Linked DNA regions of Rattus norvegicus. Each later gene encodes a partner of the first gene's protein in a complex. Links are inferred from orthologs where the notes say so. Each region holds a gene or a part of one and is shown on either strand. Other genes may lie near its edges. The genes, in order: Mtor, Rptor, Rheb, Fkbp3, Deptor and Rictor.

Evidence for each region.
Region 2: the proteins of Mtor (region 1) and Rptor are in contact, whole or in part, in a cryo-EM structure (PDB 6BCU), measured with the Homo sapiens proteins. The link is inferred for Rattus norvegicus from reciprocal best matches to the Homo sapiens genes MTOR and RPTOR. Residues at the interface, in NP_001373429.1 of Homo sapiens: His597, Thr600, Pro632, Val644, Ser645, Gln646, Thr647, Ala648, Val649, Ala653, His686, Ala688, Gln689, Glu691, Met721, Asn722, Pro723, Ala724, Phe725, Met727, Pro728, Phe729, Arg731, Lys732, Leu734, Ile735, Leu738, Thr739, His743, Tyr771; in NP_065812.1 of Homo sapiens: Phe278, Lys282, Cys283, Ser285, Leu286, Pro288, Gln380, Ala381, Asp383, Leu384, Asp387, Glu411, Gln412, Thr414, Ala415, Val418, Trp419, Thr421, Met422, Arg427, Asn428, Glu431, Gln432, Lys973, Ile974, Asp979, Leu980, Glu981, Ser982, Lys986.
Region 3: the proteins of Mtor (region 1) and Rheb are in contact, whole or in part, in a cryo-EM structure (PDB 6BCU), measured with the Homo sapiens proteins. The link is inferred for Rattus norvegicus from reciprocal best matches to the Homo sapiens genes MTOR and RHEB. Residues at the interface, in NP_001373429.1 of Homo sapiens: Arg62, His69, Glu73, Ala101, Thr102, Ile104, Gly105, Arg106, Asn109, Tyr110, Arg112, Asn113, Phe140, Glu143, Tyr144, Phe147, Glu154, Arg160, Thr969, Gln973, Phe977, Lys980, Glu1010, Phe1011, Gln1014, Met1018, Ser1050, Thr1051, Asn1264, Lys1293; in NP_005605.1 of Homo sapiens: Lys5, Ser6, Arg7, Lys8, Arg15, Pro37, Ile39, Glu40, Thr42, Gln57, Ala62, Asp65, Tyr67, Ile69, Gln72, Thr73, Ser75, Ile76, Asp77, Asn79, Asp105, Met106, Val107, Gly108, Lys109, Val110, Ile112.
Region 4: the proteins of Mtor (region 1) and Fkbp3 are in contact, whole or in part, in a crystal structure (PDB 5GPG), measured with the Homo sapiens proteins. The link is inferred for Rattus norvegicus from reciprocal best matches to the Homo sapiens genes MTOR and FKBP3. Residues at the interface, in NP_001373429.1 of Homo sapiens: Glu2032, Tyr2038, Phe2039, Gly2040, Arg2042, Tyr2088, Val2094, Leu2097, Tyr2105, His2106, Arg2109; in NP_002004.1 of Homo sapiens: Lys160, Pro161, Leu162, Ser163, Lys170, Tyr198, Lys201, Gly202, Gln203, Pro204, Asp205, Ala206.
Region 5: the proteins of Mtor (region 1) and Deptor are in contact, whole or in part, in a cryo-EM structure (PDB 7PEC), measured with the Homo sapiens proteins. The link is inferred for Rattus norvegicus from reciprocal best matches to the Homo sapiens genes MTOR and DEPTOR. Residues at the interface, in NP_001373429.1 of Homo sapiens: Met304, Gly305, Phe306, His1494, Cys1498, Trp1501, Gln1525, Asp1527, Ser1528, Glu1530, Glu1531, Cys1534, Met1535, Ile1536, Arg1538, Arg1547, Gln1554, Leu1556, Leu1559, Gln1562, Cys1563, Lys1566, Arg1683, Leu1685, Asp1686, His1687, Lys1710, Ile1711, Phe1714, Gln1715; in NP_073620.2 of Homo sapiens: Arg54, His56, Leu57, Lys58, Thr59, Tyr60, Pro61, Val101, Arg116, Lys119, Asp121, Gly122, Thr123, Phe124, Lys131, Ala132, Arg135, Arg138, Lys142, Glu177, Gly178, Glu179, Glu185, Cys304, Asn305, Lys307, Gly335, Asp336, Ala337, Val338.
Region 6: the proteins of Mtor (region 1) and Rictor are in contact, whole or in part, in a cryo-EM structure (PDB 6ZWM), measured with the Homo sapiens proteins. The link is inferred for Rattus norvegicus from reciprocal best matches to the Homo sapiens genes MTOR and RICTOR. Residues at the interface, in NP_001373429.1 of Homo sapiens: Arg1028, Asp1032, Lys1068, Leu1069, Asp1108, Asp1109, Tyr1110, Asp1150, Lys1187, Asn1196, Val1200, Gln1207, Asp1210, Val1211, Cys1214, Arg1215, Lys1218, Gly1219, Tyr1220, Thr1221, Leu1222, Ala1223, Glu1226, Glu1227, Asp1228, Leu1230, Ile1231, His1234, Arg1235, Arg1238; in NP_689969.2 of Homo sapiens: Leu204, Arg205, Gly206, Asn209, Arg245, Asp247, Val248, Glu249, Glu251, Arg252, Leu254, Thr258, Asp259, Phe260, His261, Tyr262, Arg263, His264, Ser265, Pro266, Asn306, Gly308, Ser311, Gly314, Val315, Cys317, Ile318, Pro319, Glu345, Ile347.

The regions. Positions count from the first base shown.
Region 1 is NC_086023.1:164,170,985-164,174,484, reverse strand, and holds part of Mtor (serine/threonine-protein kinase mTOR), read right to left. Parts: intron 2,960-3,500; 5' UTR 2,946-2,959; coding exon 2,784-2,945; intron 2,236-2,783; coding exon 2,127-2,235; intron 1,486-2,126; coding exon 1,253-1,485; intron 669-1,252; coding exon 468-668; intron 1-467. UniProt on the Homo sapiens protein: Serine/threonine protein kinase which is a central regulator of cellular metabolism, growth and survival in response to hormones, growth factors, nutrients, energy and stress signals.
Region 2 is NC_086028.1:105,375,452-105,379,742, forward strand, and holds the start of Rptor (regulatory-associated protein of mTOR), read left to right. Parts: upstream 1-1,491; 5' UTR 1,492-2,404; coding exon 2,405-2,566; intron 2,567-4,291. UniProt on the Homo sapiens protein: Component of the mechanistic target of rapamycin complex 1 (mTORC1), an evolutionarily conserved central nutrient sensor that stimulates anabolic reactions and macromolecule biosynthesis to promote cellular biomass generation and growth.
Region 3 is NC_086022.1:11,011,944-11,016,182, forward strand, and holds the start of Rheb (GTP-binding protein Rheb), read left to right. Parts: upstream 1-1,439; 5' UTR 1,440-1,562; coding exon 1,563-1,614; intron 1,615-4,239. UniProt on the Homo sapiens protein: Small GTPase that acts as an allosteric activator of the canonical mTORC1 complex, an evolutionarily conserved central nutrient sensor that stimulates anabolic reactions and macromolecule biosynthesis to promote cellular biomass generation and growth.
Region 4 is NC_086024.1:88,858,953-88,863,122, reverse strand, and holds the start of Fkbp3 (peptidyl-prolyl cis-trans isomerase FKBP3), read left to right. Parts: upstream 1-1,370; 5' UTR 1,371-1,393; coding exon 1,394-1,501; intron 1,502-4,170. UniProt on the Homo sapiens protein: FK506- and rapamycin-binding proteins (FKBPs) constitute a family of receptors for the two immunosuppressants which inhibit T-cell proliferation by arresting two distinct cytoplasmic signal transmission pathways. PPIases accelerate the folding of proteins.
Region 5 is NC_086025.1:88,512,745-88,516,244, forward strand, and holds part of Deptor (DEP domain containing MTOR-interacting protein), read left to right. Parts: intron 1-491; coding exon 492-626; intron 627-3,500. UniProt on the Homo sapiens protein: Negative regulator of the mTORC1 and mTORC2 complexes: inhibits the protein kinase activity of MTOR, thereby inactivating both complexes. DEPTOR inhibits mTORC1 and mTORC2 to induce autophagy.
Region 6 is NC_086020.1:57,538,145-57,542,078, forward strand, and holds the start of Rictor (rapamycin-insensitive companion of mTOR), read left to right. Parts: upstream 1-1,134; 5' UTR 1,135-1,200; coding exon 1,201-1,249; intron 1,250-1,408; coding exon 1,409-1,456; intron 1,457-3,934. UniProt on the Homo sapiens protein: Component of the mechanistic target of rapamycin complex 2 (mTORC2), which transduces signals from growth factors to pathways involved in proliferation, cytoskeletal organization, lipogenesis and anabolic output.

The DNA.
Region 1 (3,500 bases):
ACTTTTGTTTAACCTAGCTCTAATGCTTACAACATACCACCTCTGAGGCAAATGCCACTACCACCTCTGCTTGACAGCCACATAAAACATAAAGAAATTAAGCAATGTGTCAAATGTCACACAGCAAAGGCAAGAAGGGAGGGCAGGTGTCTTGTTGCCATATTTAGGACTCTTTCTGTGACATACATTTCATTGGCAGCAGCCATCAGCACAGACTCAGGGCACTGGAGCAGAGGAACTGGCCTCTGGACATTAGTGGCAACCAGGTTACTGATTCAGAAACACCCACTCCTGTCTTTTGACAACCACTGATAAGAAGCTTCTTGCTCCAGCTTCCCAAATGCTGGATTATAGAGGTGTGCCGACACAGCCTCTGACTGACACACTTCTATTCTTGGGGATGCATAAAATAATGGTGTGACTACTAAAGTGCTTTGCTCGCAGCTACTGTGGAGTCATCTCCTCACCCTGTACCACTGAGGCTTCTGCATCTCCTTCGGCTCCCGCTGCGTGGTAAGAATCAGACAGGCACGAAGGGCAGCCACAGCTCCTTCACGGATGGCCTGCTTGGGGTCCCACACAGCCACAAAAATGTTGTCAAAGAAGGGCTGAACTTGCTGGAAGAAGAAGGTGGGGACGCTGATGGCCAGCTCACGGAGAACGAGGACCTGGGAGAGAAGGGCAAACAGAACTCTTACTCCTACCAGGACTCTTGTTCTCTCAGGATACTCCCTGTCATCCTAGAGCATCTCCCTACAAGGAAAAAAAAAGTCTGGTGCCAGGAGAGGCAAAGGAAGACCGACCAAGCACCTCAGTGCTCAGCGCAGAATGCTGGCGCCATCTAAACCCACTCAGGACCCACAGGAATTTGACACTTTAACAGCAAACCAACAAGTCGAGAACCATGCCTGCCATTAGGTAGTCAATAAATAGCTACTGGGCAAAAACATGATGTTCAATTTTGTTAATATTTTCATGTCAGAGAAGACTGGTGTCTTCAGTTAAGGCAGCCAAGCTACAAAGTTGTGACTGACAGAGCCGTTAACCAGGGTGGATGCTCCTTCCTTAACCTGGGGAGCAGCTGGGAGAGCTCTATCCTGGGCCCCCCTGCCAGGGCTTTTCTCCACCTCCAGTCTGGAGCCCTTTTCCCAGGACAAGCTCCACACACGGCGGGGGTGGGGTTGGGGGTAGAGTTAGGGGGACGGGGGCGCTGCTCCTCGCCCTGGCTGGGCTCAGCCCTGTGGGAACTCACAGCTGCATGTCTCCGGCCCTCATTTCGGTCAGCACCCAGCCACTCCAAGGCTCGCTTCACTTCAAACTCCACATACTCAGCAGTGAAAGTGTCCCCTGCCATTGCAAGGCGGCCAATGGCCTTGGATGCCATCTCCATGACAACTGGATCACTTGAGGGGAGGAGGTTCCGAAGGTAGTTGGCAAATCTGCCAATCCTGGTGGAATTCCCACCTTCCACTCCAATGAGGCTGGCTAGAAAAGAAGCAGAGGTGACCATGTGGCGTGTTCTGAAATGCATGTGGCCGGAGCTGCACGCGGACGGGTGAGTGAGGCCCTACTCTGCTCTCAGTACGTTTCTACATGGAAGAAGGCAGGTTTTCATTCAAACCAGCAGACTGGATTTTTGTTCTGGAACTGTATATGTCAATCAAAATGATCTCATTCTAACCTATCTGTACATCTTATCCTTAAGGCTGAATGGCAATTCACAGGACCAGCGGCCAGCCCTTGGGCAAACAGGGCATTTCTACTTTTGCATCCATGAACCCCACTGTGCCAAACCCTGCTCTACTGTGATCAGACCTGCCGAAGGCCACCTAGGGCAGAAGAATGAGGAGCTGGCTTCTAGTCTCGCCCCTGGCAAATTGGCCACAGAGGTCACCAGTTCTGAGACTCAGTTGTCACACGTAACAGCGCACTTTGCGTGTGTCCCAGGACTTCTGCTAGAATTAGTACTTGTCTACTTGCACCCTGTCTATGGGTGCCTTAAAACTCTTTGAAACTATAGATGAACAGATACTGCTACTCTTTAGCAAGCGCAGACAGAGTACAGTAAGCACCAAGTTGATTTGTCCAGTGTCCTTACAGGTGCTGCTACCAGAGGCTGTCCTTACCAATGGCCAAGATGCCACCCTTCCTCTCATTGGCGTCTGAGCTGGAAACCAGTTCAAAAATGTGATGGTTCAGCTGGTCATAGAAGCGAGTAGACTCCTCCTGACTCATCTGCAGGGGAAGATGTGCACAGACAGATTTGTGTATTTGTAGGGATGAAGATTCGGATGGAGAGGGGGCAGGCACAGTTCAAACCAAAGACAAGGTTATAGCCCATTTCCACAGCCTTAAAGTGAAAGGCAGCTGATCACATGACTCCTGCTTATTTAACAACAGCTCACTGATTCTCTACTCTACAGCAGAAAAGAGCTTGTCTTAAAATCACCCTAACACCAGGGGCACACAGGTCAGTATCTCTGACCTCAACTATGGTCTGTTTGGAAAGTTTCAGACTTATCAACTCTCCAGATCCACCCCAACCACTGTCAGAGACAGAGAACCAAGGGGCTGGTGATAGGAAAGAAATCATACAAAATAAACAGCTGACCTGAGACCAGAACATGTTACAGAAATGTGCAGTCCTTGCAAAGGAACCTGCACCCTCCACGGACCTGGAAGCTAGTGTCCTCTCAAATGCTGGGCCTCAGTGGCGACCTAAACCAGAGGTGGCACACCAGCCACGATCCCCCAGGACCGGCCCCGAAGCACCACAGACCAACCTCTCGAAGTTCCATGGTGACATAGTGCTGGAGCTCCTTGGCTGCTTTGGCCCTGGTCTCCTCATTCCGGCTCTTCAGCCCACTGGCGAACTGCTGCAGAACGCTCACGTTGCTAGATGTGGCGGCACCGGCGGTGGCCGTGGCAGGGCCTGTCCCAAGCATCTTGCCCTGAGGTTCTTTGGGGAAGAACATCTTTCAATTTTTTACAGGCTATTTGAACCTGTTTCTAGTTATGGTGTAGCTCAGCCTTTAGCACACACCTTTAATCCCTCGGGCTGGAATACAGACACACCCTCAGTAGTTCGTACTTCTACTTTACTTGAAGTGAGTACTTTTAAAGTACTAAAGTGAGTACTTTAACTCTAAACAATGAAGGGTAAGTTAGTTTGAGAGTGATGTCAAACTAATTGAAAGACAGATTAAAGTAACAAATCAAAGAAAGATCTGACAGAATAAGATATGCCCAACTCTCACCAGAAGAGAGGAAAAGGAGTCTACTCTAGGGAAAGACAGTCCAGGAGGAAGAGTACAGTCTAGGAATACAGTAGAGTTCATGGAGAAAGTGCAGTGGAGTGAGGGAGGGCAGAGCAGCACAGAGGGAGAGGGAGAGGGAGATTCACAGAAACAGACTGAAGAGAGAACAAGCTAGACACAGGTAAAGACAGAATGAGGAGACAGAAGATTAGAACGGATTGCTAGAGTTAGTTCGAGGCCAAG
Region 2 (4,291 bases), on another chromosome or scaffold:
TGGGGACGGCACCTGTGGGCATCAGAACTACAAAATAAAGTAGAGGGACAAGGTGGAAGCAGGAGATGCTGGGATTTCTTCTAGACATCCCGGAAGTCCTGAAGCCCCTGCTGGTGGTGATGGGGAGGGGCTGGTGGTGATGGGGACACTATTTTGGAGCACTGCTCCGAGACTAGGAGGATAATGGGCTCTGTGTGATACTGTAACCACAGGAATTCTTGGGATGATAACTGAACAGAGAGCTACAGGAAACACTTCCCACATACTGGTGAGAGAGATGCAGCCTGAACTCTCCGGCTGAAAGCAGCTCAGATGCTACTAGGATTGTGGTAGGGACTGCCACTTTATGTCCAACTCTCTATCTACTCTGAGGAACACATCTTTGGAAGGCTAATCCAGGCTTTAGTGGTAAGGCATACAGTTGGTAGACTACTTTAGAGTGGTGGGACCAGTCAGAGTTCACTCTCATTGGTGGCCTGCTATGTCTTGGCATCTTGTTTGTTTGTTGTTTTTGTTTTTCATGGCAGGGTTTCTCTGTGTAGCCCTGGTTCTCATGGAACTACTAGCTTCGTAGACCAGGTTGGCCTCCAACTAAGAGATCTTCCTGCCTCTGCCTCCAGAGTAATGAGATTAAACACTGGGCCCACCTTTCAACCCTGTTCTTAAAGGGGATTTTTTTTTCTTTAAAGACAGGGTCTTATTTTGTAGCTTAGGGTGGCCTGGGCATCTTCACAAGCTAATTTTATCCTTTCAGTAATATTCTTTAATATTATTATCCAAACTTTATGGTTCAGGAACCTAAGGCTGAGAAAATACAGCTTGAAATTAGTAACACTGACTCTAACAGAGATGCCTCCAACACCAAAGCTGAAGATGGGCTCCTTCGTCTGCCTGAAATCTAGCTAAAGGTTAAGAGTGTCTCACTAGCACCCTGGTTATGAAAGGCTGGCACATGTTACGTTTACTTTATATCCCCACTGCACCAAAGCAGTTCTCAGGGTGTGTCAATAACTGAGATTTACTGAATTGAAACAGAGAAGTAAGGCAGGGCAGGAGGCTTGCTTCCGTGGGCAGACAGCAGCAGCCTTAGTCGTTTGCACATGAAGCTGTAGCAAAATAAGAGTATAATACTCAGGAAATAAGGTAGATCAGACAAAATTAATTCATAATCGATGAAATCTTTCCCTTTTTAAAAGTGGGAATATTAAAAACAAAGCCCTGATAGTGTTATGTGTCTAATATCAACAACAGTCCTTTCTGAGGTTTTTTTTAAATAGCACCCTTTAAAATCAGGACGAAACAAAGTGATTTTTTTTTTTCCTTTAATATCAAGGCACGCAGCTTTGTTTGTAGTAGCAAAAAGCTTTTAAAAAATAACTGAACGGACATGGTTTCAATCGCAGGATTGATTTTGTAACACGTCTACTTTACTAGTGGAGATCAACTAAGGAGAAAGGACTTGGTAACCCGGGTAACGGCGTGGGGGAGGGGAGGACGGAACGCCGAACTCTCCGCCCTAGCCTGGGTAGAGCGGTGAGAACGCTTGAAGAGGTTTGGCTTATTGGACACACCGTAGACAGCGGTGCATGCTGGGCCTTGGTAATATGGCGTCCTCCTTGATGTGCTGATGAGAGGAGTTTTCACTGTGGCTCCAGAGCAGAGGGCAAAACTCCCCTGACCTAATAAGCCCAGTATTCCCGTGTGGTCCGCTGGCCCGTGTCGCGCGTGTATCAGGACTCGTTCCCGGGCAGGAGAGAGCCACGAAGCCGAAGGCCAGCACCGGCCAGGCCGCGCGGACCCGGGGCTGAGGAGCCGACTGCGGACGGGCACGATGGGCCGGTCCTGGCTCAGGTTGCAGCCCCTCAGGCGAGTGCGGGACCCGCAGGGCTGAGAGCCGCTGGACGAGCCCCGAAGCCCCCTGAGCGCGATCCCCTGACGCCTCAGCCGAGCCAGCGCAATCAGAGAACCCGCACTGCGAGCGGGACGGCCTGCCTGCCCTGGGATCCACTGAGGCGTTGGAGGCCGAGAGCAGGGTCATCCCCGGGCCTGAAGTCTTTCCCGCCTCTGACAGTCCGGCTTGCAGTCCTCCAGACGACCTCCTGGGCTGCGGGTGGCTTGCGACTGGGCGCGAGTGTCGGCGCAGCTCCTGGGGCTGCGGGGTTGGTTACCCACCGATTCTTCACCCCACCCCACCCCGCCCTCTCCGACTTCCCGCTCAGAGTTCGAGATAAAGATCTCCGAGTTTTTACCTGAATAAGGACCTTCGTGCACTCTGCCGTCATCTCTATTCCCAACTTCCCGCTTTCCTGTATTTCCTTTTACCAGTTCTGGTACACACTAGTTTTTAAGGCTGGAGGTTCTCGAGCGCTTGCTGCCAAGGACTCCCCCTCCCCCTCCTCCCCTGATGGAGTCGGAGATGCTGCAGTCGCCTCTTATGGGACTCGGGGAGGAAGATGAGGCAGACCTTACAGATTGGAACTTGCCTTTGGCGTTTATGAAAAAGAGACATTGTGAGAAAATTGAAGGCTCCAAATCTTTAGCACAGAGCTGGAGAATGAAGGATCGGGTAAGTAGATTCTCATGGCATCTTTTTGAGTTCATAGTTTTCCAACTAAGAAAGTTCTGAGCAAGAACAGCCTCTCCTAGAAGAATGCTGGTATTTTGAAGCCACATGTTGCACGTTAATTAAAAACTAAAAGTTATTCCAGACTCTGGTTTTGGTTGAAAGTGGGTAGGGCTAGTCGATACTCACTGGGTAGTGTTAATTCAAAAGAGTTTTAATTCAGAGGGTGGAAAAAGCAAATTAGGAACTGTTGTTCCACAGATATTTATGTGCCTTTTAATACACTTAGTAGCATTTAGAGAAAAGACAATTTTGGAAATAACACTTAACGTCGTGCTTAGTCTATTTTTGTATCTGCTGTTTTTTTGTTTTTTGTTTTTTTTTTTTTCCAAATAACCAGGTTGAAGTACAGGTGTCTGGTACAGTATGTTGGGAAACGATTACTTGAAATGTTTAGCCAATAACAAATTAAGGCAAAGTTATTTTAAAGTTGCAGCAAGTTTCATCCCAGTCCTTTGAACATCTTCCGTGGGAGGCTGACTCCCCTAGTATGTGACTTCTGGTCGCTGTAACCTGGAGATATTTCCTCAGTGGGAAATTTGGGAGCATGGGGTATGATGGGTTGGAACCTGGGTTCAGGTTTTAGGCCGTTCTCCTGCCGGTGGAGTGTCATGAGTAGTTGTAGCAAAGAAAACAGCCAGATGTAGCGGTCAGTTCCTGATCTAGCAAAAGGGGAGTACTGTCTCTTGTCTGCACACTCATCCTTTGAGTGCTTAGTTGTTTTCTCCTTCCTGACTTTGTACATTTGTGTGAACTTTTCAGTATAAAAGAGGAAGTTGGTGTTATAATGTGTCATTTGTTATAGTTGATATGCTTTTACTTGAGACAGTTGTTTTAAAAAGGTGTATATTGATGAATACTCAATGTAGTTCTAGCAGGGACCAGTGTTTCAGTTTGGGTAAATTTTACAAGGCTATCAATTTTTGTTGCTGATGTTGTTGTTGTTTGAGACAGGGTTTCTCTGTAACATCCCTGGCTGTCGAGAAACTCAATCTGTAGACTAGGTTGGCCTTGAACTCAGAGATCTGCCTGCCTTTGCCTACTGAGTGCTGGGATTAAAGTTATGAAAATTTCCTTCAGTGAAAAGCAGTTTAGGTTGGGCAAAGGTCAGTCAGTCCTGTAATCCCAACACTCTGGAGCTTAAAGCAGGAGAATCACAAGTCAAGGCCAGCCTGGACTACAAAGTGCAGACCCTGTCTTAAACAAGAAGAATAGAAGCAATATAAGTTATAGAACTGATGGTTGAGAGAGACTGCATAATGTCTGTTTTATAGACATGTCTAGTACTAACAAAATAACATTTTCTTTTTGGTTGTAATGTTTATATATAGCAACTCTCTCCCTTTCCCCCCTCCCCAGTCCTATTTTGTCCAGTTTTTATTTAAAATTTTTTTTTCCTCCTTTTGAATGTGGTTCCTTTTTTTTTTTTTTTTCTTTTTTTCGGAGCTGGGGACTGAACCCAGAATGTGGTTCCTTTTGCTATCCAAACCTGTACTCAAACTATTGAAATCACATCAATGGATATCTTTTGAACTTTTAATTTAAAATGTTTCTCTCTTTGGAGACAGGGCTTTATGTAGTGCAGGCCAGCTTGGTGTTTAGTCAGAATGGCCTTGGCCTGGTTCATCCACCTCCCAAGTGTTAGGATTACAGATGTGTACCACTGTA
Region 3 (4,239 bases), on another chromosome or scaffold:
GTTCATCCTGGGTTCAATTCCTAGCACTGAATAAACATGGTTTGGAAGCCGGAAATCAGAGCACTTGGGCAAAGACAGAATTGAAAGATCAAGGGTAGCAGGGCAGCATTTAATCCCAGCACTTTGGAGGCAGAGGCAGGTGGATCTCTTAAGAATTCCAGGCCAGCCTGGACTACATGAGACCTTATAAAAACAGGTCTATTGTGAAGGACAAGAAATTAAGGACAAGCGTGCTGTTCACGCTCTTGGCACCTTTATTTCCAGGCCTAGCTTGGGCTTTCATGAACTAGACCTAGGGACTAGTTTTTCTTCCTGTTCTTCAATATGAGGACATCCCAATCCTCTAGTTCTCCGGAAACAAGGGCTCTGTGCCAGTACGCCTGTTGCAGAAAATATGACAGCCTTCCCTTTTCAGGCATGGCCCGCCCACACCAGACAGCGAAGCCGCCTGCTTTTCCTCAGCGTTCTTGACAATGGCTGACTTTCACGTTTCTCCAGAAATAACATCTCGACTGTTATGTATGAAAAGACGCGCTGATCTGGCTGCAGGATACCCACGAGTGCGCCTTTCTATGCGAGGTGCGCGCTGCCCAGCGTGTTGCCCGAGTCCGCACTAGGACTGGCCAGCTCGCGCTGCTTTTAGTGGAATCTCTGACATTTGCGTTCTGCACAGATTCCATTCTTCCCACAGTTCCTCAGCCACGAATAAAGCTTAGTCACCACCCACACTAAGCCCAGACTAAAGCTAACATAGCAGGACGGTAATTTAAAGTATAGACAAGAACGAAGAGAGGTGACAGCCAACCTACAGCCCGTCAGCTAGGGCCACGCGCCTCACGCCTTTTAAGGGCCGGCAGGCGCAAGTCGGCCAACGGCTCGTCACTTCACCAATGACCGCGCTTCTCGCCTATGGTTCCGCCCCCGCACGCCATATCAGCCAATCACTGGGGAGTTGTCCGCCCGCCCACTCGCCCGTAGGGCCACGCTTTTGGATCACGCAGGCGCCCCGCGTAGCAAAAGCAGCCAGGTTGTATTTTTAGCTCCCGGTTGAACAGTGTCTCTCCTTGGCTCCACCCCCTCCTAATCCCCAATAGAAGATGGAGTTTCCATTGCGTCATCGCGCGGCAGTCTGGAAGCCGTCCAGTCAGAGCTCGGGAAAGACTGTCGTAATTAAAAAGCGGCGGAAGTAGGTGGGAGGGTCATGACGCAGCGAGTTTTGGTCGTGACTTTTCCGGGGGCCTTCGGGCGTCTCCGCTTTTTCCCTTTAAAGTAAAACGTTCCCCCGACGCACCCCCGCGCGTTCCGGGCTGGGAGGCGGTGGCGGGAGGCGGCGCAGACGCGGCCGCGCGCGGTCACGTGGGTGTGTTGTTGGGGGAGGGCCCGCGCGTTCGGTTCCGGGCGGTTGAGCGAGCTAGAGAACGAGCGAGCAAGAGGCAGCCGCGCCCGCCGCCGCGCTCTGTATGCCGCGTTCCCCCGGCGCACCCGCCGCCGATAGTCTGAGCCGGAGGAGTCGCCGCCGCTGCGGTTGATGTGGTTGGGCCGGGGCTGACCAGGCTACCAAGATGCCTCAGTCCAAGTCCCGGAAGATCGCCATCCTGGGCTATCGGTCTGTGGGTGAGTGGCGGCCCCGGTGATGCCGGGGTCTGATCCCCAGGACGTGGACGCGCCTGCGAAGTTTGTGGCGGCGCGGCCATGTGGCGGGCGGGCGGGCGGGCGGGCGGCGCGCGTTTCATAACCTCCATTTTGAGTGGAGGCGGCGGCGCCTTCCCCTGTACCCGGGCGCGACGGACAGGTGGCGGGGCCGCAGGCCGAGGCGACTGAGTTCTTCTCTAGGCGTAGGAGCTGCGGACCACTGCACCGGTCCTGCGGCCCGGAGCAGTCTAGTCGGATCCCCGTGTCTGTCCCGCCTTCTCTGAGCACGGTCTATCCCCACCCGTTTCCCCAATCCCACAAGCCCCGGGCATTTCAACAAAGGAAACCTCTCCCTGTGACCTTTCCATCTGTAAAGAAATTAAACCTTTTAAAAGAAAACGGAGAAACTTCCAAGATGTTTGGCCACCAAGTTTTCCGCCTCCAAGAAACCTAGACTGGACCCCTCATAGGCCCGCTAGGTAGCAGCTGGCGGCCAGCACAGGGAAGGCGAGAAAGACATCTCCGAACTCTCGGTGTCCTATTTTCTCCCCCTTTGAGAAGAAACAAGGCCAGGCTCTTTGAACCAGGCTGTTAAAGTAATTCAAAAGCCCTTTTGTTTTCCCAACACCACCACCAAGCGATTGACATACATTTGAAGCTGCTCCTAGTAGTCATCTTTTTGCCGAATAGAGGTGGGCCTGGGTGGAGTGGGGAAGGTACAAGGTGTCGAGACAGTAGTATTCAGTCTCTTATGTGAAACAGGACGTATGAACTTGACCACGTTGCAGGGCGAGGCTTTATTGTCTTTGACCGGAACCCGAGAACATCATGTTCATCTTTAAGTGCTGTTTGAAAGCCGTAACTGTCTCCGAAAAATGTATGCTTGACAGGGACAACTGACATGTGGTGAAGTGAGTGGGAGGTGGGGAGTTTGGTTGCCGAAGGAGGTGGCCAGTAGAAAGCCTGCCCCTGAACGGACTCCTGTAGGCTTTTCATTCTGCGTTCTCACCCGGCTTTCCACTGCTGGTGTCTGGGTCTGTGCTCTTTGACCAACATCAGTCTGGGCCTGCTTACTCATCCTTTCACTATCTTTCCTCAAGGTCTGGAGAAACCCCTTAGGAAGGAGTTGGAAGATTGGAGACAGTATGAGAGTTGAAGGTGCCTAGAGTGGAAAGGTGCTAAGTGAGGTGTTTATCTTAGGAAAGAGTAGGTGACTGCTTTAACAGTTGCAACCCTAGAGTTAACATCCACAAAATTACGGTTTCAGTGTCTCTAAGAGACCATGTACTAAACACCACTATGGAGCTCCTGGTTGAGGTAACCGATGCTGGTTGTCTGGATCACCATACTGTTGACTGTTTCTTAATTTCCCCCCAATTCGGAGAATGAGACCACGATGTAACTTGGCTGTTGATTGAGTACCCTCTAATTAGATAAATATACAGAGTGTTAACTAATTGAAGATGGTAATCTTGAATGTGCAAGGCATATCAATCCGTGAGAATATTCTACAGGTCTGGATTTTATTTTCTTGTAATTTTTGGAATGGCACTGGATTTAAATAAGTTTGGTGTTATGTCTCCTTGGCTATAGAACTTCTGTCAGTAGAAACCCATCCTGATTTTTTAGGCAAGGTCTTATGTAACCCAGGTAGTCCTGGACTCACTGTATAGCCTAGACTGGTCTTCCTGTGAAAGCCCCACTAGAGCAGGGATAGGTGTGCCTGGCTACTCCTATACTTCTCCCCACAAAGGTTCACTCTAGGCTGCTGGTTGGAAGTGTGGTGCTAGCTGGTGGAGGAGCACAGGATTGTAGGCCTATTTTCAATGCCCCCAATGTGTCACACAGCCTGTTTTCTCCATAGTTGTTTGCAAGGGTAATGCCTAAAGTAAGATACTACGTTACTCCTAATGTTTCCTTTGACTTTAGTTTGCTTTCCTATGAACAGAAATATTTTATAGTTTCAGGATTCTTTGCAGAGGAGTGGGTTGGTCTTTTGCCAGCATGATTGCATGCACTAGCCGCTCTGCCAGGATTACCCACTTCTCAGAACCTAAGAGATATGTTCAGTGCCCTAGTATAGAAATGTCAGTGTTTCTAGGGTGTGTGTGTGTGTGTGTGTGTGTGTGTGTGTGTGTGTGAGAGAGAGAGAGAGAGAGAGAGAGAGAGAGAGAGAGAGAGAGATTGATTCAAAACCATGCCTTTTTATACTGTTCTTTTGAGTAAATGGTTTTCTGCTTTGACTATACTGCTGGGCATTGTTACTGGACGTGCCACAGACTTTTAAGTTTGCTTCAGTAAGCACTGAAATGTGGCTTTCAAGTCTTCATTTGTTTTTTTTTTTTGTTGTTGTTGTTGTTTTTGTTTTGTTTTTGTTTTTTGTTTTTTTTGGTTCTTTTTTTTCGGAGCTGGGGACCGAACCCGGGGCCTTGCGCTTCCTAGGCAAGCGCTCTACCACTGAGCTAAATCCCCAACCCCTTCATTTGTTTTTGAAACATTGATAAACCTATGAAAAGGGTTTAAAATGGGACAGTAAAATTCTCTTCTGTGGTATTTTCCTGGTATTTGCAGTAGGGAAGATTTTTGCAGACATGTCACCTCAATGTC
Region 4 (4,170 bases), on another chromosome or scaffold:
TTTAAATGTATTCTCAAACCTGGAGTGGTGGCTCTGGCCTGAGGTGATGTCTGGAGAATCATGAGGTCAAGGTTATCCTTGGTTACCAGAGTTGCTAGGCCAAGAGTAACATGAGTAAATAGAATGTAGTTTTTGCTCTTCTTCAAATGAGGTATCACTGTTAACCTGATACTACTACATACAATGTTAAGATACATAACTTTGTGATCCCAGGGCAAGCATCCATTGTGACCGTAAAATGATTGAATATTTAAACCTGAAGATGAGAGTAAAAGCAAAAGTAGAGTTAAATAATTAATATTTTTCTCCATTTATCCTGAGAAAATGCAGTCTCATGTTACAAATGGCAACTTTAATGTTTTGCCTGTCTAAAGAAAGTGAATGTAATCTGGCTCTGTATTGAGAAACTAAAACAAATTTTTGTCATGGTATTTCTTTTTCTGTTTCCCTCCGTATGTTCTTGTTTCACACAAAGGTCTTGCTCGGAGGCTCACTCTGGTCTGGAACTGAGCATGTAGATCAAAATGGTCTTGAGCTGGCCAATGTCCTGCCTCAGCTTGTAAAGGGCTATACAGGCTCCTGAGTGCTTCAGGCATACAGATTTAGAGCAGTAAGCGTTCTTGTGCAGTTCTGTTAGTCATAGCTTTCTGCTTTCAGACTTGGGTACCAGTACAATTTTAGTAAATCTCTGTTCCCTCAGTTACTGAAGCAAAGTACAAACACACGTAGCTCCTGCTGTATCGGAAAGATGTATTTTAAGTGTAGCTTAATTGCATTGTTTTATTCAAGCTTCTAAATTTGTAGGCAAAACTCTGTTGGGGGAGGTTTCCATTTAGTTTTGTGAAAATTGTTTGATGGACAAGTACTAAGTCAATTTAGATAAGATTAGAATAGAACTAGATAAAACGAAACAGAAAACTCGAATGCTGTTATTTTCTTTAAAGAGTTTACAATCTGTACTTTTAAAGACGTAGTAGGCCGTAAATAATAAACAGGTGGGGCTTAGAAAGCGTCAAAATAAGCTTTGACATCATCACTGCGTTCATCAGGCTAACCGACTACCACAGATCTTTCTACTCAACAAGGCTCTCACAACCCAGCCTTGACATCACCCTAGCCCACGTCTCAATCCCCTTTAGGACGACGGCGGCCCCGCCCCTGAGTTTCCCTGCAGGCCCCAAGAAGACTAAGAATGGCAGAAGTCCCGCCCCCTCGAGCATGGCGCATGCCCAGGCCACGCTTCAGGGGTGGGGCTGCGTAGAATATGTGGGCTGACTCAGCAAGGCATAGGACCCACCCCTAGAGCGTGGCGCAAACCCGGGCCACGCCCTGGGGGCGGGGCAGCGCCGGGCTGAGGCGGGCTGGCTCAGTGCAGCAGCAGCAGCGGGGGAAGATGGCGGCGGCTGTTCCGCAGCGTGCATGGACCGTGGAGCAGCTGCGCAGCGAGCAGCTGCCCAAGAAGGACATTATCAAGTTTCTGCAGGATCACGGTTCAGATTCGGTACCAAAGGCTTCTGGGCGGCCGGGCTGGGGCGTCCCGGGGCCACTTCACCCCCCCGGAGATGCCTTACATACCGGATTCCTCCGTGCCCCCGCCCTCGCCTTCTGTGGCCCGTGCTGGCCAGGCCCGAGCGGCCCGCGTGAGCTCCCACCCCTTGGGCCGCCCCAGTTTCTGCGGGGATCAGCCCTTGTTTCCTAGGCCAAGGAGCTGCGATCGTAGATTTAAATCTCAGTTGGGATCTGTGAGGGCCGAGGACCTGAGAAAAAGGAACCTTGAAATGTTGGCGTCTCAGGCGGGGGCGAGGAACGGGGAGTGCATGCTTCCCGGGCTCAGAGTGTGCTGGCCACTGGGAAATGGGAGGGGTGTAAAGCTGTGAGGGAGTCTCGTGTGCATCTTGTTTGTCTTACCAGTGTATTAAATACACTGGTCCTAAATACAATGAACTATAATCTGTGATTTTCAAAAACCCATGTATTAGTGTTTTAACTTTTTCGTTCCAAAGCCTTTTACAAAATACCTTAGGGGAATTAAATGCGAATTTTTAATATTGTGGTCTTCTATGATTATAAGCACGCAGATTTGAAAAATTCTAGTTGTATAATGCAGTTTTCAGCCTTGTCTGCATATTAGCCACCCATTTTGTAGTCACAGGATTATTTTGTTAGACTTTGACTTCTTGTCCTTCAGAAAGGGTCATTCATTCCGTCCACCCTCACCCCCCAACTCCTTAATGTGTTTTGGAGGCAGCATCTTACATAGCCCAGACTAGCCTCACACTCACCTCACATTCACCTCGAAAGTGCTAGGGATAACAGCCCTGCGCCATATATGTCCTGTTCCATACCTCAGCTAAATTGTTGAATGATGGTACACGTTGTGCACATATCTACTGTTCAGAAATAGAAAGTGCGGCCTAAATTAGGTTTTCCTACAGTTTTCCAGAATCTAAAATGTCAAAATAGTGAGTGTTGTGTGATTCCAAAGTGAAAATGAATTTGGTGACAGACATTTAAATGCGTATTTTCCAGTCATCATTCACCTATTCATGCCTGTGTTTTTAGAGTCCTGCTATTTCAGTTTAAAAAAGTTTCTGGGTTCCTTTGAAAAGATTGTTTTTTCACTTAAGATCTCGTTGGGAGATTCAGGAACTCTCACACATGGCATCAGGATATGGTTCAGCCCATATTTTGGAGCATGTGCAGTAACCTGGAGACCTGTGTTTGAATGAATACGCAAGGGTGAAAGGGAAAGACACCCTTGCAGATAGACCTGTATATCATTTTACTGGATAGTCTCTTAAGCCATTATAATTTTCAGCAGTAGAGTTAGGCATTTAATACCTGAATACTGTACTTCTCTAAGCTGTCTTTAAACAGCTTATTTATCCCACTGTAAAATGTAAAGTTTTTAATTTTTTCCCTTCTTTTAGACTCTTAGGCTACGCTGACCTGACTTGGACAATTTCAAGGGACTTGAAACAAATAACAGTTTTGTAATAATTTCTTTTCCCCAGTGATCATTCTCTTACCTAAATTAGTTGATGGTCATTATTTTTGTTAATCATAAAACATTAAATAGTTGTATTTTAGATATTTTTCTGGAATCTCAAAGAAATAACAAGAGTGTTGAAGTAACTGATTATTCTATATAACCAGCTTTTATCTCCTTTCAACAGTCCTTCATCAGTTAAAATCAGTTTTTTATAGTAGTAGAGGTCTTGGTGGTCTATGCCTTTAATCCTAGAGGCAGGTAGATCTGAGTTCCAGGTCAGCCTGGACTCCACAGTAAATTCTAGGCTGGGCAGGGTTACAAACAGAGAGGAAGGAGAGAAAAGGTAAAGACAGAAAAATGCAGTGGAGACAAAAACAAAAAGTAGCTTACAGAACTCTTTGGTGCAGGAGACAGCTTGAGAAAATAAGAAGATTTGGAGGTTCAGAACTTCCAAATACAGTAAAGGAAGGAGACTGGAATAAAGGGCTGGAGAAATGGCTTACAAGTGTGATGTTATGTTAGGATGCCCAGGACCACTCTGAAGCTGTAGGAGGGAGTATGTGCCTATACTCACAATGTCTCATGGGAAATGGAGACTAGAGAATCCTTGGAAGCTCTTAGGCCAGTGAGCCTGTAAGAAAGAACCTGTCTTAACATGGAGAGCAACGCCCGCATATGGAATTCTGACTTGAACATACCATGCATGCTTTTTGTGTGTCCATAGGCACTCACAAACACACAAAGGTGTTTTAAAAATTGGGTTTTTAAACACAAGGTTTTTAACCTTCACCAGATTTTAAGATGAACATACTATGAATTTATTGATTTTTTTTTTTTTTTTAACTTTTGTTGTTGCTTACTTTTTGCTTCTTGAGACAGTCTTACTGGGAACATAAAGTTGGCCCAGAGCTCTCCATCCTGACTCAGTCTTGAAGATGCTTTGTTATTTTACATTTATATTTATATATTGGCTTAATGTGTGTGGGCATGAGTGCCGTGACACTTGTGGAGTTCAGAGGACAACTTGTAAGAATCAGTTCTCTGGGTGTGGGCTCTGGGGATCAAATCCAGGCTTGTGCAATGTGACAGACTATTCCACATCAATTTATACTTCTGCTAATCTTGTACTGTAGAGAACCTGGGTCTTTTAGACCTTACTCTGTGTGTGTGTGTGTGGG
Region 5 (3,500 bases), on another chromosome or scaffold:
CCTCTGTAATGGCAGTGAGTGCTCTTAACCTCTGAGTCGTCTCTCCAGGCCCAGGTTTGGTAATTCTTGAATTCATGTCCTGTAGGAGAGATGGCCCTAGTTGGTAAAGTGCTTAACGCCCAAATAGGTTGACCTGAGTTTAGATCCGCTGCACTCGCATAAAAGATGTTAAGATTTAAAAAAAAAAAAAAAAAAAAAAGATATGCTGTTGTGTGGACTCCAAGGCATAGGTTACATTATGGGCCCTGTTTTAAAAAGAGAGACAGAGAGGGAGATACATATACATACATAATATGATATGATCCTCGCCTCACACCCATCCCGTGACATATTACTATTTCATTTTACAGTCCGGGAAACTGAAAGGGGGTGGCCTGAGTTACTCTGTCTGTGAGTATGCGGCAGAACTGGACGTGAGATTTTTGCTTTGCAGCTGAAAGCCCAGGAGTTCTAGGACTCCTAGAGTCACTGTGCTTGCTCCCCCTCTACAGTCAGCCCCAGCAAGGAGATCAAGATTGTGTCTGCCGTGCGGAGGAGCAGCATGAGCAGCTGTGGCAGCAGTGGCTACTTCAGCAGCAGCCCGACGCTCAGCAGCAGCCCCCCTGTGCTCTGCAACCCCAAATCTGGTGAGTGACAAAAAGGTGGCCATGCTCCTATCTGGGAGGCTTGGGGTCGTGTGCTGGCGGAGTTCCTTAGGACGCAGAGATCACAGGAGCGGGAATCTTACAAAAGCATACTCTTGAGTTAGCACCCATTGCTGGCTAAGAAAGACTAGCACATGGCCTCCGATAAAGTCTCCTGGAAGGCTACTGCTAACCCACAATGCAGTCCAGTGCCAGGATGCCCTGCGCCTTTATGTTGACCCTTTATGTTCAACATGCATGCCCCTGAAAGGAAGGTATAACTTTGCTCACGAAAACTGCCTTCTGAGAGCTAGCTCTCAATGTCAGCCAAGGGCTGACCAACACTAGCTAGACCAGAAGCCAAGACCAGCTGCTGAGAGAAGTTCTTCTGCCTCTCAAAAGGGCTTCAGCAACTTGTAGATGCTTTCCTAGACTATGGTGATCAAGGATTTCTGTGGACTGTGTGCTTGCTCTCTCTCTCTCTCTCTCTCTCTCTCTCTCTCTCTCTCTCTCTCTCTCACTCTCACATTTGTTTGTTTGCTATACTGCTAGATGCTGGGATTACTGGCATGTACCATCCCACTTGGTCTCAGTGCCTCTTATACATAAGGAAGAAGAGAGTGGGTGTATTCAAGCCCACCTATTGGAATTCATCGGCATCTTGCAGTTTCAAAACCTACTCATCAGCCTCCATGAAGACTTAACCATCATAAAGCTGGCAAGATAACTTAGAACATAAAAGGGTTTTCCATGCAAATCTGACAACCTGAGTTCAATCCCCAGAACCTTTGTAAAGATGGAAGGAAGAACTGAAAGAACAGAATTCTCTGACCTCCACACATGCGCTATCTCAACATCTCTGTGTCTGTGTCTGTCTGTCTTCGTGTCTGTCTGTCTCTGTCTCTCTCTCACTCTACCTCACTCTTTCACAGACACACTCTCTAATAAATAAAAATGGAAGTATTAGTCATCTCTGTGAGGATTATATATAGATTTACTAGTTGATATAAATATCTGGCCTCACCACTCTCTCAAAAGAACAAAGCCATCGCTGCTGCCATCGTCCATGTCATGGTGACGAGCGAGAGGGAATCCGCAGGATAATTCCCTGGGTCTCAAAGTCTCTGCGTCTCAACACAATAAAAGGAAAAAGTAAATGGCTAGCTCTGCTCCCAAAAATATCATCGATTTCATAACCCCAGAGGAGTCACAGGCTTGGAGAAGAGCTTGTCTGCTAAGCATTAAGGTCTCAGTGCTTAAACACTCACCACGTTTCCTACCTCCTCCTTGGGGCCCGAGAGACGCCTTTCTCCTCTTGATATTTGACCTACTCCCTCATCCTTCAAATATCCTTGATATTTGACCTCATCCCTCATGGCTTCAAAGCTTTCTGAAAAGCAAACGTTCTAATCCCAGACATCTGTCCCCTTCCCAAGAAGCAGTTCTTGGCTCTTCTTGAGCCTGGGGCTCACCCGGCAGGTGGGCCCAGCTGCCAGGGGAGGCATCATACAGTCCTGCCCCTTGCTGCTACTGCTGCTACCCATTTGTTGGGGACTAGTGACTGACCTCAGAGTGAATCTGCTGCCAAAGGCAACTGCAGGTGGTCATCTATCCAGATTAGACCCTGGCCCTGACTCCTCATTCACTTAAATCTCTGCTCTCTGTGTACTGTTGCTAGAATGGTCCCTATGCCCTATCCCGACTAGCAGTCCTGGGATGCTAGGACAACCCCTCTCCAGTTCCAAATTATCAAAGACTGGTCAGGGAAATTCATTACTAGAGGAGAGAGGGAGAAGTTCTTTACTAATGGAGTTTCAGGCAGCTGTCTCTGATGCCTGGTAGGCAACAGCAGTGAGCTAAGAATAGACAGACAATACTCCACACTGCTGTCTTCCAGAGTTTCTGAGACAGCGTAGCACAGGACAGTATGAGAGTTGCTAAAAACACCGGCCCTGGCACCCATGCTTAAATTTGACCCTAATTTTACTACCCACGTTTTTAGCTACAGGTTGTTGGAAATGCACAAATTAACTTTTCTGAACCAGTTTTCTTATGTATAAAGTTAATGGTAAAAATTTTTTTAAAAAAATATAATACTAAGTAGTATATCTTTCAGCTTTAAGTCTGTCAGACACTTCTGTGGCTTTAGGATTTTCTATTATGAGTTTATTATATCTAATTTCACTTTCAAATGAAGCAAGCATGGTGGCTGGATACAGCTGCAATCCCAGCACTAGAGGCTGAGGTAGGATTCCCGCGAGCTTGAGGCCAGCCTGGGCTACATGTCATGCAAGCAAGACCCTGTCTTTAAAAACAAAACAAATTTTAAAAATGAATGAGATTAGTATAGGGGTGAACCAGACTCTAAATCAGTGATTCTCCCTAATGCTGTGACCCTTTGATACATACAGTTCCTCATGTTGTGATGACCCCAACCATAAAATTATTCTCATTGCTACTTCATAACTGTAGTTTTGCTACATTATTAATTGTAATGTAAATATCTGATATGCAGATGGTCTAGGCGATCTCTATGAAAGCTTCATTTGATTCCCCAAAGGTTGAGAAGTCCTGCTTTAGAGAATTAGCTCAGGTAGAGATTAAATGAAAAATGGAGGTGACAGGATGCAGGGAAGAGACCCAGCCCATGGAGAGTACGCTGGAGAGTTACCCAGTCTGACTCCTCGGAGCTTGAGGCGGCCTTCTTATGTTTCTAGGTTACTTATTAGGGAAAAGAATGAAGTTTAGTAAATGAGATGCGTGCAGTATGTTAGGGACACCAAGTTCAATGGAGCCTGCATCTGCAGGGTGGCTGGCAGACTCCTGGAGTTTTAACATATATCTATGTAGATATAAGAACTTTGAAGAAAGAGCTGG
Region 6 (3,934 bases), on another chromosome or scaffold:
ACAATTGTTCACTATTATTAACAAGGGGAGCCTTTCCAATATTTGTTTCTCTTTGTGGTTTTAGAGGGGGTTTGGTCTGCTTGTTTCTATTGAGAACATTACTATTGTTTACAACACTATTAGGGCAGAAGGAGCAGAAGGTTTACGCCAATAGATCTTTGTTTTTGACGTCTGTACTGAAAAAACGAAGTGGTTAAGGCAAGATCTCCACTTTCCACTTACTTTGAAGTCTGGAATAGAGAGGTGAGGAATTGGAGGAGACAAAATACCCTCTCACTAAAGTAATCTAGTTTAAGAGAGAAGGGCCAAATGAGTACGTAATAAACCGCTTCTAGAAACTCGTAAGCTAATCACTTTTACTTGTATGCATTAAAAACATCTATCCAACGCATCCGCATTAGTCAGTGATGTAGGAGTAACAGAAAGCCAGGACCAGGCGCTCAGCCTCCTCCCTAGGCTCCGGGTGGAGAAGAAACCCTGTCTGGGGCCTCCGGGCGCTGGCGCGCGCTGGGGAAGAGTCCCGCGCGGGCGAGTGCCCTGCACGCCCGCTTCTGCACTCCTTGCACGTCCGATGCCAGGCAGCCCGAAAGCAAACCTCCGCCCAGCCGCCCGCTCCGGCGGCGAGCAGCTTTGCCTAAGATCAAGCGCGAAGCCGCTTAGCTCAATGGTCAGAGCGTGGGTGGAAAACAAACTTTGTTACGTGTTCACTCGGAGCACCGCGGTTCTGGGAAAGGATCAAAGCCACATTCCTAACTGTGCACCGCGCGCCTCACTCCCCACCCCACCCTCTCTTTTAATAATAATAAAAAATAATGATAATTTTAGCCGATGAGTAACGAAGCGGGCTTTAAAGCCACGCGGGGAGTGCAGCGGGGCGGTCCAGCAGGTGGCCCGCCCGCATCCCGGCCTCCGCCGCGCGCGCCGAGGCCCGAGCCACATCAATGGGAATCCCCCGTGGGAACTGCGCCTCCCACCACGCCTGCGCTCCGACACCCTGCCGGTCTCAGCGCGCCGGGGTCGCAGCCCACCCCGGGTCGGCGCCTGGTTGCTCCGCGCCCGCGGGCGAGCCTCCGTGCCGAGGGGCGGGGGCGCTGTCGCGGGGGGCGGAGGTGGGGGGGGGCGGGAACCGCGCGCGGGGAGGGGAAGGGGTTCTCGCGCGATCGGGCGAGGTTTCCGGTGTTGTGACTGAAACCCGTCAATATGGCGGCGATCGGCCGCGGCCGCTCTCTGAAGAACCTCCGAATACGAGGTAAACCCGCTTGCCGCCCTCGCTCTCCGCACCCGGTGTTCGCTGTCCGCCGCGGCGCTCGGCTTTGCCCGGGGTCTGGGGTGGGGGAAGCAAACTGGGCGTCGGGCGCCGCTGGCCTGCGATGGTTCCTAACTGGGGCTGTGTGTCTGTTTCGCACAGGGCGGAATGACAGCGGCGAGGAGAACGTCCCGCTGGATCTGACCCGAGGTAACGCGGGGCACCGGGGCCGCTGTGCACCGGGGCTGGGGCGGGCAGGCACGCGACCCGCGGGGCAGCGAGGGGCCGAGCCCGCGCCCATCCCCCTGCCCCGCGCCGGTTTCCCCCCGGGTGAGCCCCTCCGGGCCTGGGGCGGCTGCCGGAGCGCGGGAGCGCGGGGCGGACCTAGGTGCACCCAAGGACCGGGGCTGCGCGTACGCCCGCGGGAGCGTGTTTGCACCCCCCGTCCGCTCCCGGGCCCCCGAATCCCGGAGGCGGCCTCGGACGAGGGGAGGTAGAGGTTGTTATTTAGGTTACTGGAGGATGTTTGTGGGAAGAGCGACCACATCCTGCCCTCCCCGTCCCCCGGAGCAGATGCTGGATCTGCCGGCTTCTTGCTGACTGCGTGACTGCTCTTCTCTGCCCGCGCGGTCCTCTGGGGGCCCCGCAGCTTTGCGAACTCGGCGGTGAAATCGAGAGCCGGTGATTACTGCTAAGTGTCTGCTTTATGCCGCGTCTCCCTGCTGCTTCCCGTTCCCGGGCCCGCTGGGGCTGTAGTTGGCTAGAGACCGCCCCCTCACTGCCGCAGGTTCATTGTGTACCTTCTGTCTGCAGTGGAGATGCGTTTGTTTACACCTTCTCTGCAGGGCAAGCCCGGCGTGCATTTTTAAGAACCGTCTCCGCCGAGTGATCGGTGTTTCTTGCTTGGGTCACCGGCCACCAGACTGGTGTTTATTCCACAGTATCTCGCCAAAGCATTAGTAGTTCTGTGCAAGGAGTTCTTTTTTCTCTTCTTCCATAAACAGGAGTTGGACTACAGATTTCGACAGTCACTTCCCACAGCGTTGTAGTTGAGTGTAACTAACTAGTTCTGCTGTGCGGAATCACTTTTCGAGTTCCGTAAAACACCTTAGGATGTGAAAAGAAAAGACACTCGTAAACATTCCACATGGCATAAATTTGTTCCCCCCCCACCTTGTATGTAGTGACCATCGTATAAAGTATAAGGATGGTGGATGTCGGTTTTGGGAGACCCATCTCTGTATTGACAGCATAATTCATTCTCAGTTCTGTTTCCGTTTTTGTAAGAGCCCGGTGTAGATTGAAAGACTATAGTTTTGATTTAGTTAGATGAGTACATGTTTGTTATTTGTTTCTGATAGTTCAGGAAGTTTTGAGTAAACTAGTCCTTTCAAAGTGAGAAACTTTTTTAAGATACAGTACAGTGGTGTGTAAGTTCTAGAAATGGCAATTAGTTAAATCGGTGATTTGGAACTTTTTTTTATTAGCTAGGTTTGAGAAACAGTATAGAAAAAGGTCAAGCTTTTGACTTTTTTTAATTTGTAAATTTAATATATATATATATGAAAAATTTCCAGCAAGCATTCTGAGTATCCTAATACAGATCTGAGACTTAGCATTGTGCTTCTCTCTCTCTTTTTAAAGATTTTTATTTATTTTATGTATGTGAGTACAGTGTTGCTATCTTCAGGCACATCAGAAGAGGGCATCAGATCTCATTACAGATGGTTGTGAGCCACCATGTGGTTGCTGGGAATTGAACTCAGGTCCTCTGGAAGAGCAGACAGTGCTCTTAACTACTGAGCCATCTCTCCAGCCCCAGAATTGTGCTTTTCTAACCATGTAGTTGGTCAGTGATTTCAAGAAATTGTGAGAAGAGACTGCAAGGTAAACCTGAGCCTGGCGTACAGTAAAAGCCTGTTCAGATATGGGGTTGGAGATAAACTGTGTAGTGTGTGATTTTGTTAATCTTTATACATTTCTGTGGTGGTGTCAGAATTTGGGATTGTAGAAAAGCTTATTTGAAACTTGCTTTGCTTAAATATTAACTCAGACAAATCTATGGGTATGATTGAAAAGAATCAGTTCTCTGAGACTGTTTACTTAAACATCTATGTAATAAATATAATATAGATAGCTGTTCCTAGGGTTATAGAAAATGCTTAGAAAATGTTTTCATTTGCCCTGATAAAATGTACTAGCGTTCCAAATACGTATTCATAGCCAGTTGACCTGATTGCAAAAGCAATGCACAACAACGAGAAGTTATTTGAGAACTGTAGGCCTCAACCATAAGGAAGTTTAGCAGAAAAAAGTTACGAGTTAGACTCGTATATAGTGAGACAGCTGATTAGAGAAAGTGTTTGTTTAACAGACACTTCATTGTTTAAAAGCTTGTGGATCACACATGAGGAAAGTTCATGAGGAATTGAACTTTAGTAATGATTTCAGACCCATGAGGCATCTGGGTTGCAGCTGCTTGTAGATTAGATTACAATACGGAAACAGATAAAAGTTTGAGCAGCTAAAGTTTTGTTTTGCTTTATGCTAAGGCAAGGTTTGCTGTCATGCAGATTGTTTTGTGACGTCTACTGTGTAGGTGGACAACCGTGGTCATAGTGATCTGTGAAAGAGACATCCAGGCATATCAGACACTGACTGCGAAGTCAGATAGTTCTGCATTGTAAG